Kluyveromyces lactis: one gene and its partners. The protein of the gene in region 1 purifies or fractionates together with the protein of each later gene. This does not show direct contact. Links are inferred from orthologs where the notes say so. Each region holds a gene or a part of one and is shown on either strand. Other genes may lie near its edges. The genes, in order: NIP1, TIF34, GCD11 and HCR1.

Region 1 (4,355 bases):
ACTTGCCATGGATCAAAACTTCTACCATCGAAGCCTTCTTGGTTGGTTCCGAAGCTTTGTACCGTGAAGATATGACTGCTTCTGAATTGGCAGATGCTATCTCTGATGTCAAGGACTACATTAAAGACATCAAGGATTCCGATGGTAACTCTTACAGTGGCAAGCAAGTCGGTACTGTTGACTCATGGAACGTTTTGGTCGATGGTGGATCTGCTACCGCCATTCAAGCTGCTGACTTTGTCATGGCGAACGCCTTCTCTTACTGGCAAGGTCAAACTATGGATAATGCTTCTTACTCGTTCTTCGACGATATCATGCAAGCTCTACAAACTATCCAAACTACCAAGGGTTCTACTGACATTCAATTCTGGGTTGGTGAAACTGGCTGGCCAACCGATGGTACCAACTTTGAAAGTGCTTACCCAGGTCTAGATAACGCTAAGCAATTTTGGGCTGATGGTATTTGTGCTATGAGAGGCTGGGGTGTCAACGTTATCGTTTTCGAAGCTTTCGATGAGGACTGGAAACCAGATACTTCTGGTATTTCCGATGTTGAAAAGTACTGGGGTGTTTGGGATGCCAACAGAAACTTGAAGTTCAAGTTGGATTGTGATTTCAGCTCTTAATTTTTGAGTTGAGCTTCTCTTCTCTTTAACATACAATACAGATTGTGTGTATTTTTTTTACCCTTCCACTTTCTCATTTGATACCGGTTATAATTGTTGACTTGTTGTTTCCTTTCGTCTCCTATTAACAACTCAAAATTATACAAATGAAGCTTTCATGTCACATTTAGGTCACACATTCCTTCAGCAAATTGATCCATTCATACTTGTTACTACGGCTGTTATCTAAAGGTGATATTAACTTATTACCTACTTGAATTCTTCAAATTGCGATACTATCCATTTTAATTCCTGGACTAAAAAAAAAAAAGAACATTAAAAGAGTACTTTATATATCACAACAGCAGAACATTTTCATGAACCATAAATGTATCTATCCCGTTGTCGAAGTATGCCCACAAAACATCGATCAAGAAGGCATCGTATATGGTATGAAAGCTTCAAAATTATTTTATTTCTTAGCAACATCTATATTTCACTTTTCATATAACTAAATTAAATCGATATTATTTTATACCCTATTTATCATCGATGATTATACGCAATCACACAAAGTTAGACGTCCATTTTGGCCTAACATCAACCGGCGACAGACTCCCACTTCACTTTGTTCTTTGCAATGGTACATTCATTTATCATTACCCGGCTACCAATCGTGTTCCATGATTATTTGAAAATTTTCACAAATTTTCACTCAGTGAAAGCTCATCTCAAAAGAAAATCTGAAAGGTTTGAAATCGAATTAATAGATGAAATTCAGTTGAGACGTGTAATAAGCAATACTTTTCAATTGTAGGTTGGAATCACCAGGTCGTAACAGGGAGACTAGGTTGAGATTAGTACGTGGTATTAAGGAAATAGAACAACGTTAAGCGATAGTCCATTCATCATGTCCCGTTTTTTTTTGAAGACATATGAGTACGATTCAACGTCTTCTGGTGAAGAAGAAGACTTGTTATCTCAAAGTGAAGAGGATTTAGTTTCATCCTCCAGTGAGGAAGAATTATCTGATGACTCTTTCTTCAACGACTCTGATGAGAGTTCCGATAATGATGAAGACAATGATTCTGATAGCAAACCCTACGGCCCTGACTGGTTCAAGAAGCCAGAATTCAGAAAAGGTGGTGGTTCAGGTGCTAACAAGTTCTTGAAATCTACCAACTATTCATCTGATGAAGACTCATCCGACGAAGAAGATGGTAAGAAGGTTGTGAAGTCAGCAAAAGAGAAGTTGTTGGATGAAATGAAATCTATTTACCAAAAAATTGATTCCGCAGAAGCCCAACAAGATTGGGAATCATTATTAAACCATTTGGAAACCATTTTGAAATTATACACAAAAGCCCAACAACAAAACTACGGTACACCTAATATCTTTGTGAAGTCATTGGCTAGATTTGAAGATGCGGTATCTGCTACTTCTCAGGATGAAATTAAGAATAAGGCAGTTGCAAGAGCTTATAACACCACCAAGCAAAGAGTTAAGAAGTTAATCAGAGAAAACGAAACCTCCGTTAAGGCTTACAGAGAAAACCCAGAGGACTTTGACAAGGAACCTGTCTTAGATGCTGATATAGACTCAAGAGATGTCTCTGCTACTCCATTCTCCTTGAGTGGTAAGAAGAATTTAGACTTGGCATCCGTGGCAAATAACATTTCTGAGCTAGACTTTTTCAAGACGTTGAATATTATCATCGATTCTAGAGGTAAGAAAAACACTGACCACACAGAACAAATTAAAACCACCGAAGAACTATTGAAGATTGCCAAGACTCCATATGAAAAGATCTGTACATACTTGAACTTGATTCCAATCAGATTCGATGCATCTGTATCCTTATCATACCAACCACTAGAACAATGGAAAGCATCAAAGGATAACTTGGATGGTTTATTGGAAGTGCTGGAACAAGAGATCGACCACTATCAAGTTACTGAATTTGCCCCAAGAAATGATTTCATTGAAGATGAACCAGAAGCTAATGAGCATGGTGTCAAGGAAATTTTGGGTTCTATCTTCTCTATGGTTGAAAGATTGGACGATGAATTTAGCAAATCCCTTTTGAACATTGACACTCGTTCCAGTGAATACATGGAACGTTTGAGAGATGAACAATCTATTTACAATTTGATTATCAGATCCCAATTGTACTTTGAACGTGTAACTGCAGAAGAACACCGCGATAGACTTTTGGCCCGTGTCTTCAACAGAAGACTTGAACATATCTACTACAAGTCCGACAAGCTCATCTCTATTATGGAAACCGTTGCATGGAAACAAATTCGTGAAGGAACTGCGTCCCTTGAATCCTCTTTCGTTCGTTTGAATGAATCAGATTCCGCAGATGCCGATTACAACTTCAAGGTCATCTCTGAATTGTCCGATTTCTTAATTAAACAAAAGAGTAACAACGTGTTCAACTACAGAAAAGGTACCTTGTACAAAACATATTATATTGCATTGAACCAAGAATACGCTCCAGCAAAGAAAATAATGCTTTCTTCCGATATTGCTAAATTCATTTCAGGCTCTGATGCAGCATTACAAATTTTGTACAATAGATGTGTTATTCAACTTGGTTTGGCTGCATTTAAGGCTGGTTTAATAAATGAATGTCACCAAGTTTTGAACGGTCTTTGTATTAATCCACATCTAAGAGAAATTTTGGGTCAACAAAGTTTACAAAGAGCTAATGCGAACAGCAATGTCGTGCAGGGTGCCCCTGTTGAACAATTATGTCTTCCTTTCCATCAACACATCAACTTGGATCTAATTGACACCGTCTACATGACATGTTCTTTATTACTTGATGTGCCTCACATGGCAGCTTATTACAGCGGTATTAAGGTCAAGAGAATCCCAGTTTTCCAAAAATCTATCCGCCGTATTCTAGAGAGTTCAGAGAAAGCTATTTTCCATGGTCCTCCAGAAACTCTAAGAGATCACATTCTTTATGCTGCAAAGTCAATGCAAAAGGGTGATTACTTACAATCGATCGAATATTTGAGGAAAATTTCTGTGTGGTCTTTGTTGAGTAAATCTGATGATATCATCAACCAACTAAGTGAAAAGGTTCAAATTGAAACTTTGAAAACTTACATTTTCACTTACAAGAGATTCTACTCTAAAATATCCATTTCTAAATTATCGAAATTGTTTGATCTTGATATCGAAAAGGTTTTGGCTGTAGCACAAAACATCATCAATGATTACGAAGTTAAAGCCAAATTGGATGAAAATAACGAATACATTATCTTCGAAAGAGGCGAAGAAATCACAAAGTTAGAAGAAGTTGCCATCAAGTTAGTTAAAGAAACCAAGTACCACTCTGAACGTTTACGCCAGTAAACATTTTCATTCTTCGTTCAGCAGATAAGGTCAGTTTCTAATTGTAGCACTCACCTTCCATACACATAACAAAATTTGCTCTTCCTTCTTTTGTTCACTTACCGTGCGCATATTAATAGACAGAGTCGTTGGCAAAGAACCTTTGTTTTAGCATTTGCAATAAATACTAGTATTTGTACATTATCGATAATATATAACATAGTTCTCACTGTAGGCAATTACGTAGTTTTTGAAATCAATTAATTGAATTTTGGAGACATATAACATCTCGAACATTGACTCGTAACAATACAGTTTATGCGCTGGTTCATTCTATATATATATGTATATGATACACATTTATGGACAAATGTATGTTATCAGTTGGAATAAACCACTTA
Region 2 (2,807 bases), about 420 kb from region 1:
TTTACTCTCAACGAAGTATGCTACTGAAGTTTTAAAGATCTTTTCATACGTCTTACACATTTTAGCTGACGGGCTCACATATGATGGGACGTTTCTTCTAAAAGTTTGTGTCTGAAGGTTAGGTTATTTTACATTAATTTACATGGGTAATTGAATGTACATATAATTATCTAGCAAAACCGTTTCCGCATTAATCCTAGCAATATAAGCAATGAATGAAAACATTAGTTATTAACAACGATGAATCCAATAGCCGTGGATCACTGTTTTTGGGGTAAACGGACACATCTTTGCAGAGTTCGCAATGGAAGAACTCTGGTATGTAAAATAATATGCAACTAATGATGTTTAGTTATTGGTATACTAATATTGAATGATGAAAAACGGGAGCGTCAATAGGTTATCTAGTGCCAGAATAGAGTTGTGAAAAGTATGGATAATGTACACTGGTGTCATCAGATTTGTATCGATGGAAGAAAAAGAGATGTGTGATATGAGATGAATGACCAAGTTTATTCTTGCTTTTGCAGTTGTTGCCTTCTTTCCACTTCAAATGTCTTTTCCACGTCGTATTTGAAATCGAAGTATGATTTATCGAAATGATGTAAACGGATGTAACCATCTTCACCGCCAGATGCATATGATGTACCAGTTGGAGAAACGGCGACGTAATTCAAAGGACCGAAATGACCCTTAACTCTGCCAATTTCATCTTGGAATACCTTGTGGTAAATTCTGGCTTCGAACTTACCTTCACGAGCACTAGTAGTTGTGACATCCTTAGCATCTTGACCACCACCCAAGATTACAAATTCTTTGAGAGGAGTAATAGATGCACTATTTAATGGACAATCAGCCTTGTATGTTTTTAGAACTTCAAAAGTGTCGACATCCACCAAAGAAGCGACACTGTCTCTGGATGAAGTGATAAAGTAAGTTCTGTCTGGAGAGAATTGGATATCTTTGATGCTCTTTTCGTGGATCTTCTTTGCTTGAACGAATTCCCCGTTTTCACCGTAGTAAGCACTGATTTGACCATCTTCATGACCTGCTATGATGTACTTACCATTGTAGGACCAAGATGCAACGAACACCTTGGTAGCTTGCTCGATGGTTGTAATTTCGTAGTCTGGTTCCTCCTTCACATTCACGATTTCACCGTTTTCGTTTCTGATCAAAGAGTAAACAACAATGGAACCAATGTGACCCATAACGGCATCAAGTACAATCAAAAGTTTGCTACCGTCTGGAGAAAATTCGACTCTCAAAACTGGACTTCTGGTAGAGACAGAATGGACTGCTACACCTGTAGCAACTTTCCAGATCTTGAAACAGAAATCAGCACCACCAGTCAACGCATAAGTTGTGCTTTCATCAACATCAATAGACCAGATAGTACCAGAATGATCATCTAGAGTACCTAATCTTTCACCGTTGATAGCGTACCAGATAGAGGCAACACTATCTTTGGAGCAAGCAAAAACTAAGTCACCATCACGGTTGAACTTAACTTGCGTTAATGGACGTTCATGACCCTTCAAAACAATTGGTCTCATCTTTTCAATATTTTATACTTCTGAGTTCGATCAGAATCTGCTATTGCTGTTGGTTCCGAATAATCCTTGAACCAGTACTGAAGCTGCTCTAAGCTTTTTCTTGAAAATATATTGTTAATCCCACTGTGTATTTCGAATTTTTTTTCACTAATTCATCAATTTCTTTCACTTTTTCATTTTCTAAAGCTTCTTCCTCTGTGATAATACGCTCTCTGGCTTTACTTACGCTTGGAAAATTTTACTGATAAAAGAAATCTGTTAAAGGTAGGGTAATGAGGAAAATAGCATCCCAAGTAGAAGTACTGTGTCACTTGGTGATGATAAACTCTCAGAGTGTGTCCATACGGATCTCAGAACGAGATTCCATGACATATTATGGGTACTGGTTTGAAACCTTTGGTTTTTGCTGCACTAGTATAAGTATAAGTATATAGATATATCAATGTATAGTTGGCTTCACATGAAAGGATCGCATTGTCTAACAAACATGCTCGACAGGCGCATTGTCGTCAACGAACTCTCCTAGTTCACTCTTCAACTTTCTATCAAATAACTCAAACATAAAACCCAAACATGCTTTTGTCACTGCGGAATCGAATCTCCCCTTGCTGAATTCGTCTCTGATAAATGCATGTTGAGCACCGTTGATTTCTAAAAATGTGACAGACTTATCCTTCACTGCATTTCTAATTTGATCTCTGCCTTCCCATGGCACATGAGTATCTTTGGTACCAAAAATCAAGAAACATTCCTGGTCCTTTTTCCAATTGGCTGTAACCTTTTCCAATGAATCGTCATTCTTGCCCAAACCTAAAGAGTGAGAGTGAATATCAGTGGGGAAGAAACATGTTGTAGCCTTGATTCTGGAGTCAAGTTGAGCTCTGAAGGCCAAATGTCCACCTAAGCACATGCCAGTTGCACCAACTCTTCCATTCCATTGTGGTAGGTTTTCTAGTACATCAAGGCACAACGTAACATCTTCATCATACGATTCTAAGGGTTTTTCAATCTTGAATTTGTTACCTAGATCAGTACCCTCAGTATCATACGCCAAGGGTGTAGAATCTACAAAATTATGGTATGAAGATGGTAAAATGGCAATGTAACCTTCTGCAGCAATCGTTTGAGCGAATCTCAAAACAGGTCCAGTAACCTGATAAATTTCAGAGAAGACTAACACAGCAGGGAATTTAGCATTTGGATAGCCCTTAACGGTAGGCTTCACGATATGTATTCTGATTTCAGAATCGA
Region 3 (3,619 bases), on another chromosome or scaffold:
TACTGGAATAATATTCCACCCTCAGTCTCCAACTAAAACTGCGTTCGACACTTCAGGCAAGGAAAATTGTTCAAGAGCCATTTCGGATGCATCTGTTAATAGACCCTTAAGCCTCGATCCTGCTGCCCGGAAGAAATGCGTGGAGCATAAAGTACAATCCCATAGTAACACGTCAATGCCATTGGCGCCGACACCTCTTAATAAGGGTACTGAGTCATACGTCATTATTCATGCTATATCAATGTTGAAGGATTTGTATCAGTTACTGGAAAAAATCAGAAATACCGTATTTATCATGATGAAGAACGACTCTTTGCCCAAATTCCTGGCAACAGAATCGTATAGGGACGCAATTTCATTAATAACTGCTAACAAGTAGAACCTAGGCATTTCATCATGAAGAATAAAGATATTCATCTTGCAAAAGAATGTGGCCTTTTCTACCAAGAAAATGGAACATTAATGTGACAATATATACATATAGACATATATAAAATCATTTAGTTAATTTACAGATTAAGCGATTGGTTCAAGAGTGGTACCCTTCTTGATAGTAGCCCAACCAATTAAACGCCAATGCTTTTCGATACGTCTAGATAATGCAATCTTTTCATTAACTTCTGTACATGCAGGGGAAGTTAATTGTAATCTTGCCATATCGGCTTTGACGGCAACCACACGGGCACCAGTAGCGGTGGAACCGATGTTCACCATTAAAACTTCATTTGGCTCTAACTTTCTAACCTTTGCTTGTTTTTGACCATCGGTCTTTACACCTAATAGACGACGCAATAGGAAGTAGTTAATTTCGATATCGGTGTAGATAGATGGCAAATGGCCCTTAGCACCAACGACTTGACCCACTAGACGATCTGCTCTACATAACGTTGGATCGACCTTAGTACCAACACCAATCAAACCACCTGGAACGGCGAATTTTAGGTCGTTGTGTTCAGCAAATAGGGAAACGATATTGGAGAAAATTGGCTTACATTGAATCTTACCATGATCATCTTTAGTGACGATACCTGGTCTAATTTCGATCTCATCGCCTAATTTGAAAACACCAGTCAAAATGGAACCACCGGCAACACCACCCTTCAAATCTTCGATTTCGGCACCTGGCTTGTTAACATCAAAGGAACGAATGACAATCAATCTCGGAGACGCTAAGAAGTCTCTTTGAGGAACAGGAATACTTTTCACGATGAATTCATTCACAGCATCAATGTTATATTTCAATTGGGCTGAGATTGGAACGATTGGAGCACCATCAGCGATGGTACCTCTAATAAATTTCAAAATAGATTTTTGATGTTCCAGAGCAGAGTCTTCTCTCATTAGATCGACTTTGTTCTGTAAAATGATAACGTGCTTCAACTTCATAATTTCGATAGCAGCCAAATGTTCAGAGGTTTGTGGTTGAGGACAGGATTCGTTACCTGCGATTAGAAGTAGTGCTGCATCCATAACGGCAGCACCAGACAACATGGTAGACATTAAAATATCGTGACCAGGACAATCGACAAAGGAAACATGACGGACTAGTTTATAACGTCCACTGTAACCTGGAAGATCAACCTTTGGTGCAACTTCTTTGTCAGATCTGAAAGACTTATAACAGTCTGGTTCTGGGCATTCTGGATCTTCTGCTTTATAGATTTTGGCATTGGCGTAACCTAATTTAATGGTAATATTACGTTCTAATTCATCCTTGAAACGAACGGTTTGAACACCTGAAATAGCTCTCACAACGGTAGATTTACCGTGAGCGACATGACCGATAGTACCAATATTGATAGTGGCTTGTCTATTGATAATTTCTGGTGATAGAGGGTTCAACTTGGAAAAATCTGGGTTCGTTGGTTGCTCTGGAAGACCACCACCTTCTTCAAATTCTCTCTTTCTACGTTCTTCATCCGCTTCCACATCATCAATCCCACTGAAAGTAACAGTCTTCTTAGGCTTCACTTCATCAAAAACTTGCTCCTCTTCTTCAACCTCAAATGTATCTATTGGCTCATCATTAAGATCCCCATTGATGACAATACTTGGCTCTTGGTTTTGCAAATCAGACATCCTGAACTTTAGGTATTATAAACAATCAGAAAAAACTATCACTAGATATCCTTTTTGATACTTTCCCAAATACTGCACCTGGCCGTTCTATTCTCTGGAATTAAACTCGGTTGCTAACAAGATCTTTATACCTTTACACCTTCATTACTCATCGAGATTAATCATATCCACATATATCTACTCAATTCTGTTGAAACTGATTTCGAATTTGGCATTCTTACAATTCAAAAAAATTTTCGATACAAAGTAACGATTTCGTACAGAAAGAGAAATCTGGTGGTATTTTCGATCACGTGATTATGTTTTAAGTACTTGGAAAATGTGCATAACGACATCTGGTTTTGCTTAGGTTTCTCGCCAGTGACAGGTTAGCAGTTGGTGTCATTTCGCAGTATCAATCTGTTAACCGATGATTTAATTCGTCTTATAATAAGTATTTATAGAAATATATAACCAATAATTTAATATTACAACGTCGGATTGAATGCGAATTCGTTCATTAGAATGTCGACATCTTTCCAAACAAGATCTGATTCCCAGTTGTCCCATCTTTCCGTAAGACCTGGAGAAATTGAGGGCGTATCTTCCTTTCTGTTTTCAGTTCCTTCTGATATTATCGATTTTGTAACGGACTGGAAGGATTGCGGTATTGGTGGCTCCAACAACTCATTTAAGGACTGCGCAGCAGGATTGATCTTTCGAGTCGGTTTACTATGATTTGACGGACTTGAAACCCTAAATTGTGGGGAGTTCGTTTTCTTGGCGGTGGTAGAATGGTTTATGAGTTTATTGTCTGTGACGGCGTTCAAAGGATTTAGAGATCTGGGATAACCGCTAGTTTCAACATTGGAAGCACCAGCATGTGTGTTTGTAGGTGATACTATGATATTGTTGCTAGGGGAAGATGAAGATGGCATTGTACCATTTTTCTGTTTCTGCAAAATCTCGTCCTTTGGGGACGTTTTGTTTAGGATTGATTTCAATGACAAAACGTCACTACTATGTGAACCGTTCGGAGATGTAATATTGCTTCCACTGGACTGCTGTGCATTGATGGGCTCTGGGTCAAGTGGAATGGTAGATATAATCCTTCTGGCATGTTCTTCGGAATACCCATCGTTGGGCAGTAGTTCTTTGGACTCTGCATCTCCGTTATGGTTATCGCCACTATTTTCATCATCAGAGGAGACTGTCTTTTCTCTTTCTCTCTTTAGTTTTGCCATACCGCACTTCTGTCTTAATATGAACAAGCAGTCAAAGAAAACACTCACAGACATTCTAGATCTTATGGTAATACTCAAGTTAAAATCCTTTTCTGACTGTGTTGAAGAGGAACTTTGGTCTTTCTTCGCTTTCCACTCTTCGAACATGTTGCTGAACATGCTCCATATACTTCTCATAATACCAGCTGATCTATAAGCCATATCGTACTTGAGGACAGAAGCATTCGAAATTAATGATACAGCATCTTGATAAACTTCATGACCAGTATCGACATCGATAATTGAGCCCAATGAGGAATGGACTAGCTTTGATATTA
Region 4 (2,812 bases), on another chromosome or scaffold:
AACAGCTGCTAAGTTACCAAGTTTCTCTACCAAGTTGTTACCTTATTATATAGTATATTGATATGCGGAATACAGACGGCGTTCGATTATACATATATATATATATATATATATAAGTACAAGTTCATAGCTGAGAAAAAAAAAAACAGTTCAAACGCGGAATAGGAACAATCATATACCGTCGACTCCACGACTTGGTTCATCCACCCTTGTTTTGATACATATCCGGCTTGCTCTCCTCTGGTCTTCTCTGGCTTTTCTTTGTTGCCGGATTTCCATGATGATTTTTCACTTCGTAGCGTGGGATGTAGCGTGGATCGGATCTTGTTGTACTGGTTTGAGGCAGCACTGGGCCAGTGGAGAGTCAAGAGCGCTCTCAGATTCGGTAGATGAGAGAGAGAAAGAGCGACCGGGCTAGCGAACAAGACTTGGGCAATATTAACAGTTCAATTGTTTACGTTCTATATATGATATGTGATGATGATATGTGATGAGATCTGTTTTTTTTTTCTATTACATGAAATCGTCTTCTCCGAAATCGTCAAAGTTATCGTTACCACCTAGGTCGAAATCGTTATCCTTCTTGAAGGCACCGCCGAGGTTAGCCCTAGTAGCCTTGGCCTTCTTCTTACCGGCACCGCCTGTGGCGGTGCCTCCCTTGACTTTGGCCAAACGAGCTTGTCTTTCTTCTCTTTCTTTATCCTTCATCAATACGTTCAATGTCGCAATGGTTTGTCTGATGTTTTCGACGGTCATTGGTTTGGAAATGTCTCTGATCAAGTCGATGGCTAGTCCACCAGAGTAGTTCAACAAGGATTTGTTGCTTGTCGAGGTGATTGCGGTAGCCAACGCTTTCCTTAATTCTTGGTAATCTTTTTTGGTTTCCAAATCCGAGAACAATGGGTGCGATTGGATTGGGGTATCCTTGGTCAACGCAGCAGGTTGGGCGACAGCTGCAAGCTGTTCTCTTTCACGTTCGGCGCGGGCTCTTGGATGTTCTTCTGCGACGCCAAGACCGCCGAAAAGGTCTGCAGCGTTGTTCAAATCAGATTCCAGTTCAGCCTTTCTCAATAGTTCTTTACGGGTCTTGTCGTCAAGAGTATCGATATCGAGCATGGTGTTCTTTGTAGCAGCTGGTGTAGCAGCTGGTGATGGAGAGGCTTTCTTTGGAGCCTTGGCTGCAGCTGCTGCTGCTGCCTTAGGCTTAGGTTTAGCAGTCTCCTCGTCCTCCCAGGACTCTAGTACCGGCTCATCGTCGTTTTCAGCGAACTCATCATCCCATGAATTCAACACTGGCTTCTCTTTGGAGCCACTTGGCACTGCAAAATCTTCGTCGTCCCAGGACATTGTTGATTGATAATTGATCTCGGTTAGGGTAGAGCTGCTGAAAGCAAGTGTTTATTGATTGTCCTCGTTACAAATTCTTGTCAAGATGCTTATGGGTGGCATTAAATTTCGATTTTTGGGTCTTTTGGGAGCTGTTACCCGGGGCAGTGGTCTTCCTTCCTCCGTCCCTCCCTTCTGCCGCAAAGACTGCTACGTCAAACCATCATATTGCATGTAGAACGAAAATACCCTGCTATAGACCACGATTTTTTGTCTATCCAGAGTTCCACTGGCACCATATAACATGTTAATGATCACTTCCCTTTTAATGGTACCCAATTGACGTATTCATATCCTGTTCTGCCCATTATGACGCTCCAAAATTAATTTATTTTTGATACCTATTTCTCAAAATTAAATAGTTACTTTTTCTGGCGTCACTCATGCACCAGGCTCCTCATCATCCCATACGACCTTCGGTCCCTTATCATCGATTCCTTGACCAACACACAATTAATGATCAACTCTCGATCCGAACCTTTTTTATATATACATGTCAGTATTGAAAACATAAAATGTGCATCCATTTAATAGTTGTTGGTCCAATCTAACCATTGTGATATAGGCTCGTGACAAGTGGACCTAATCTGGAATAGTTGTTTGGCAACGCAATAATAAAGAAAGTATCTTTGGGAGATTATTCAATATATCGGCATGGGTGAATATAGAGTAAGTACTGGAAGAGGAGGCGCAGGAAACATGATAACGTCGAACGAGAAACCTTCACCGAAGGTTGTGACACAGGGTTCCCAGACCCCCAATATACTATCGCCAATTTACTCTACGGGTCGCGGTGGTGCTGGTAATATGAGGAGGAATGTGGACCCGGTTATGACACGCACCGCACAGGATGTTGACGATGACGACGTGATAGACGTGACTTCTTCAAACAATACAGGAACCATCAAAAAGATCAAGTCGAGACGCTTCTCGGAACCTCCAAAGACCATATCGATCGGTAGAGGTGGTGCTGGGAACATACTAAGCCCTAAATCGTCAAGAAAGAAAAGGGATGAGAAGGGCTCTAAGAATTCCTCCACTGGAGACAACGGATCGAGTCACGTGGACGAAAAATCATCAAAGAGTGGGTTCTTCTCCAAATTGAAGAGTCTTTTCAAGTGAATCGCCACCGATCAGCTCTTCTCCTTCCTATCTTTTCATCCCTCACACTTGCATAATGAGACTATATAGTCCTCCTTCTTCTTCCCTTCTCCTTTTTTATTAACGTAACGAAATGAACTTTAAAAAGTAATCAAAAGATACTTCTTCTGTCTTCATGAACATTGGGACACAGACCCTGACAACTTGAAACAGATGTAATTGTACATATAATACTGCATAGCCTTTCTTCCCTCTATTTAATAAGGCATTTTTAATATATAAGTAATTCATAATATTGATTTTTATCTCTCAATCAAATCTCATT

The links.
Region 2: the proteins of NIP1 (region 1) and TIF34 purify together in Saccharomyces cerevisiae (affinity purification with western blotting; 10 studies listed by BioGRID, with this or other methods). This does not show direct contact. The link is inferred for Kluyveromyces lactis from reciprocal best matches to the Saccharomyces cerevisiae genes NIP1 and TIF34.
Region 3: the proteins of NIP1 (region 1) and GCD11 purify together in Saccharomyces cerevisiae (affinity purification with mass spectrometry; 4 studies listed by BioGRID). This does not show direct contact. The link is inferred for Kluyveromyces lactis from reciprocal best matches to the Saccharomyces cerevisiae genes NIP1 and GCD11.
Region 4: the proteins of NIP1 (region 1) and HCR1 purify together in Saccharomyces cerevisiae (affinity purification with mass spectrometry; 6 studies listed by BioGRID, with this or other methods). This does not show direct contact. The link is inferred for Kluyveromyces lactis from reciprocal best matches to the Saccharomyces cerevisiae genes NIP1 and HCR1.

Annotation. Positions count from the first base shown.
Region 1 is NC_006042.1:279,775-284,129, reverse strand, and holds NIP1 (translation initiation factor eIF3 core subunit c), read left to right. Parts: upstream 1-1,515; coding exon 1,516-3,975; downstream 3,976-4,355. Other genes in the region: BGL2 (glucan 1,3-beta-glucosidase), read left to right, coding at 1-626. UniProt on the Saccharomyces cerevisiae protein: Component of the eukaryotic translation initiation factor 3 (eIF-3) complex, which is involved in protein synthesis of a specialized repertoire of mRNAs and, together with other initiation factors, stimulates binding of mRNA and methionyl-tRNAi to the 40S ribosome.
Region 2 is NC_006042.1:696,342-699,148, reverse strand, and holds TIF34 (translation initiation factor eIF3 subunit i), read right to left. Parts: upstream 1,557-2,807; coding exon 513-1,556; downstream 1-512. Other genes in the region: KLLA0_F07381g (carboxymethylenebutenolidase), read right to left, coding at 2,035-2,807. UniProt on the Saccharomyces cerevisiae protein: Component of the eukaryotic translation initiation factor 3 (eIF-3) complex, which is involved in protein synthesis of a specialized repertoire of mRNAs and, together with other initiation factors, stimulates binding of mRNA and methionyl-tRNAi to the 40S ribosome.
Region 3 is NC_006040.1:897,780-901,398, forward strand, and holds GCD11 (translation initiation factor eIF2 subunit gamma), read right to left. Parts: upstream 2,080-3,619; coding exon 517-2,079; downstream 1-516. Other genes in the region: GTPase-activating protein SST2, read left to right, coding at 1-379; leucine-responsive transcriptional regulator LEU3, read right to left, coding at 2,547-3,619. UniProt on the Saccharomyces cerevisiae protein: As a subunit of eukaryotic initiation factor 2 eIF2, involved in the early steps of protein synthesis.
Region 4 is NC_006041.1:1,750,006-1,752,817, reverse strand, and holds HCR1 (translation initiation factor eIF3 core subunit j), read right to left. Parts: upstream 1,348-2,812; coding exon 514-1,347; downstream 1-513. Other genes in the region: PAR32 (Par32p), read left to right, coding at 2,041-2,508. UniProt on the Saccharomyces cerevisiae protein: Component of the eukaryotic translation initiation factor 3 (eIF-3) complex, which is involved in protein synthesis of a specialized repertoire of mRNAs and, together with other initiation factors, stimulates binding of mRNA and methionyl-tRNAi to the 40S ribosome.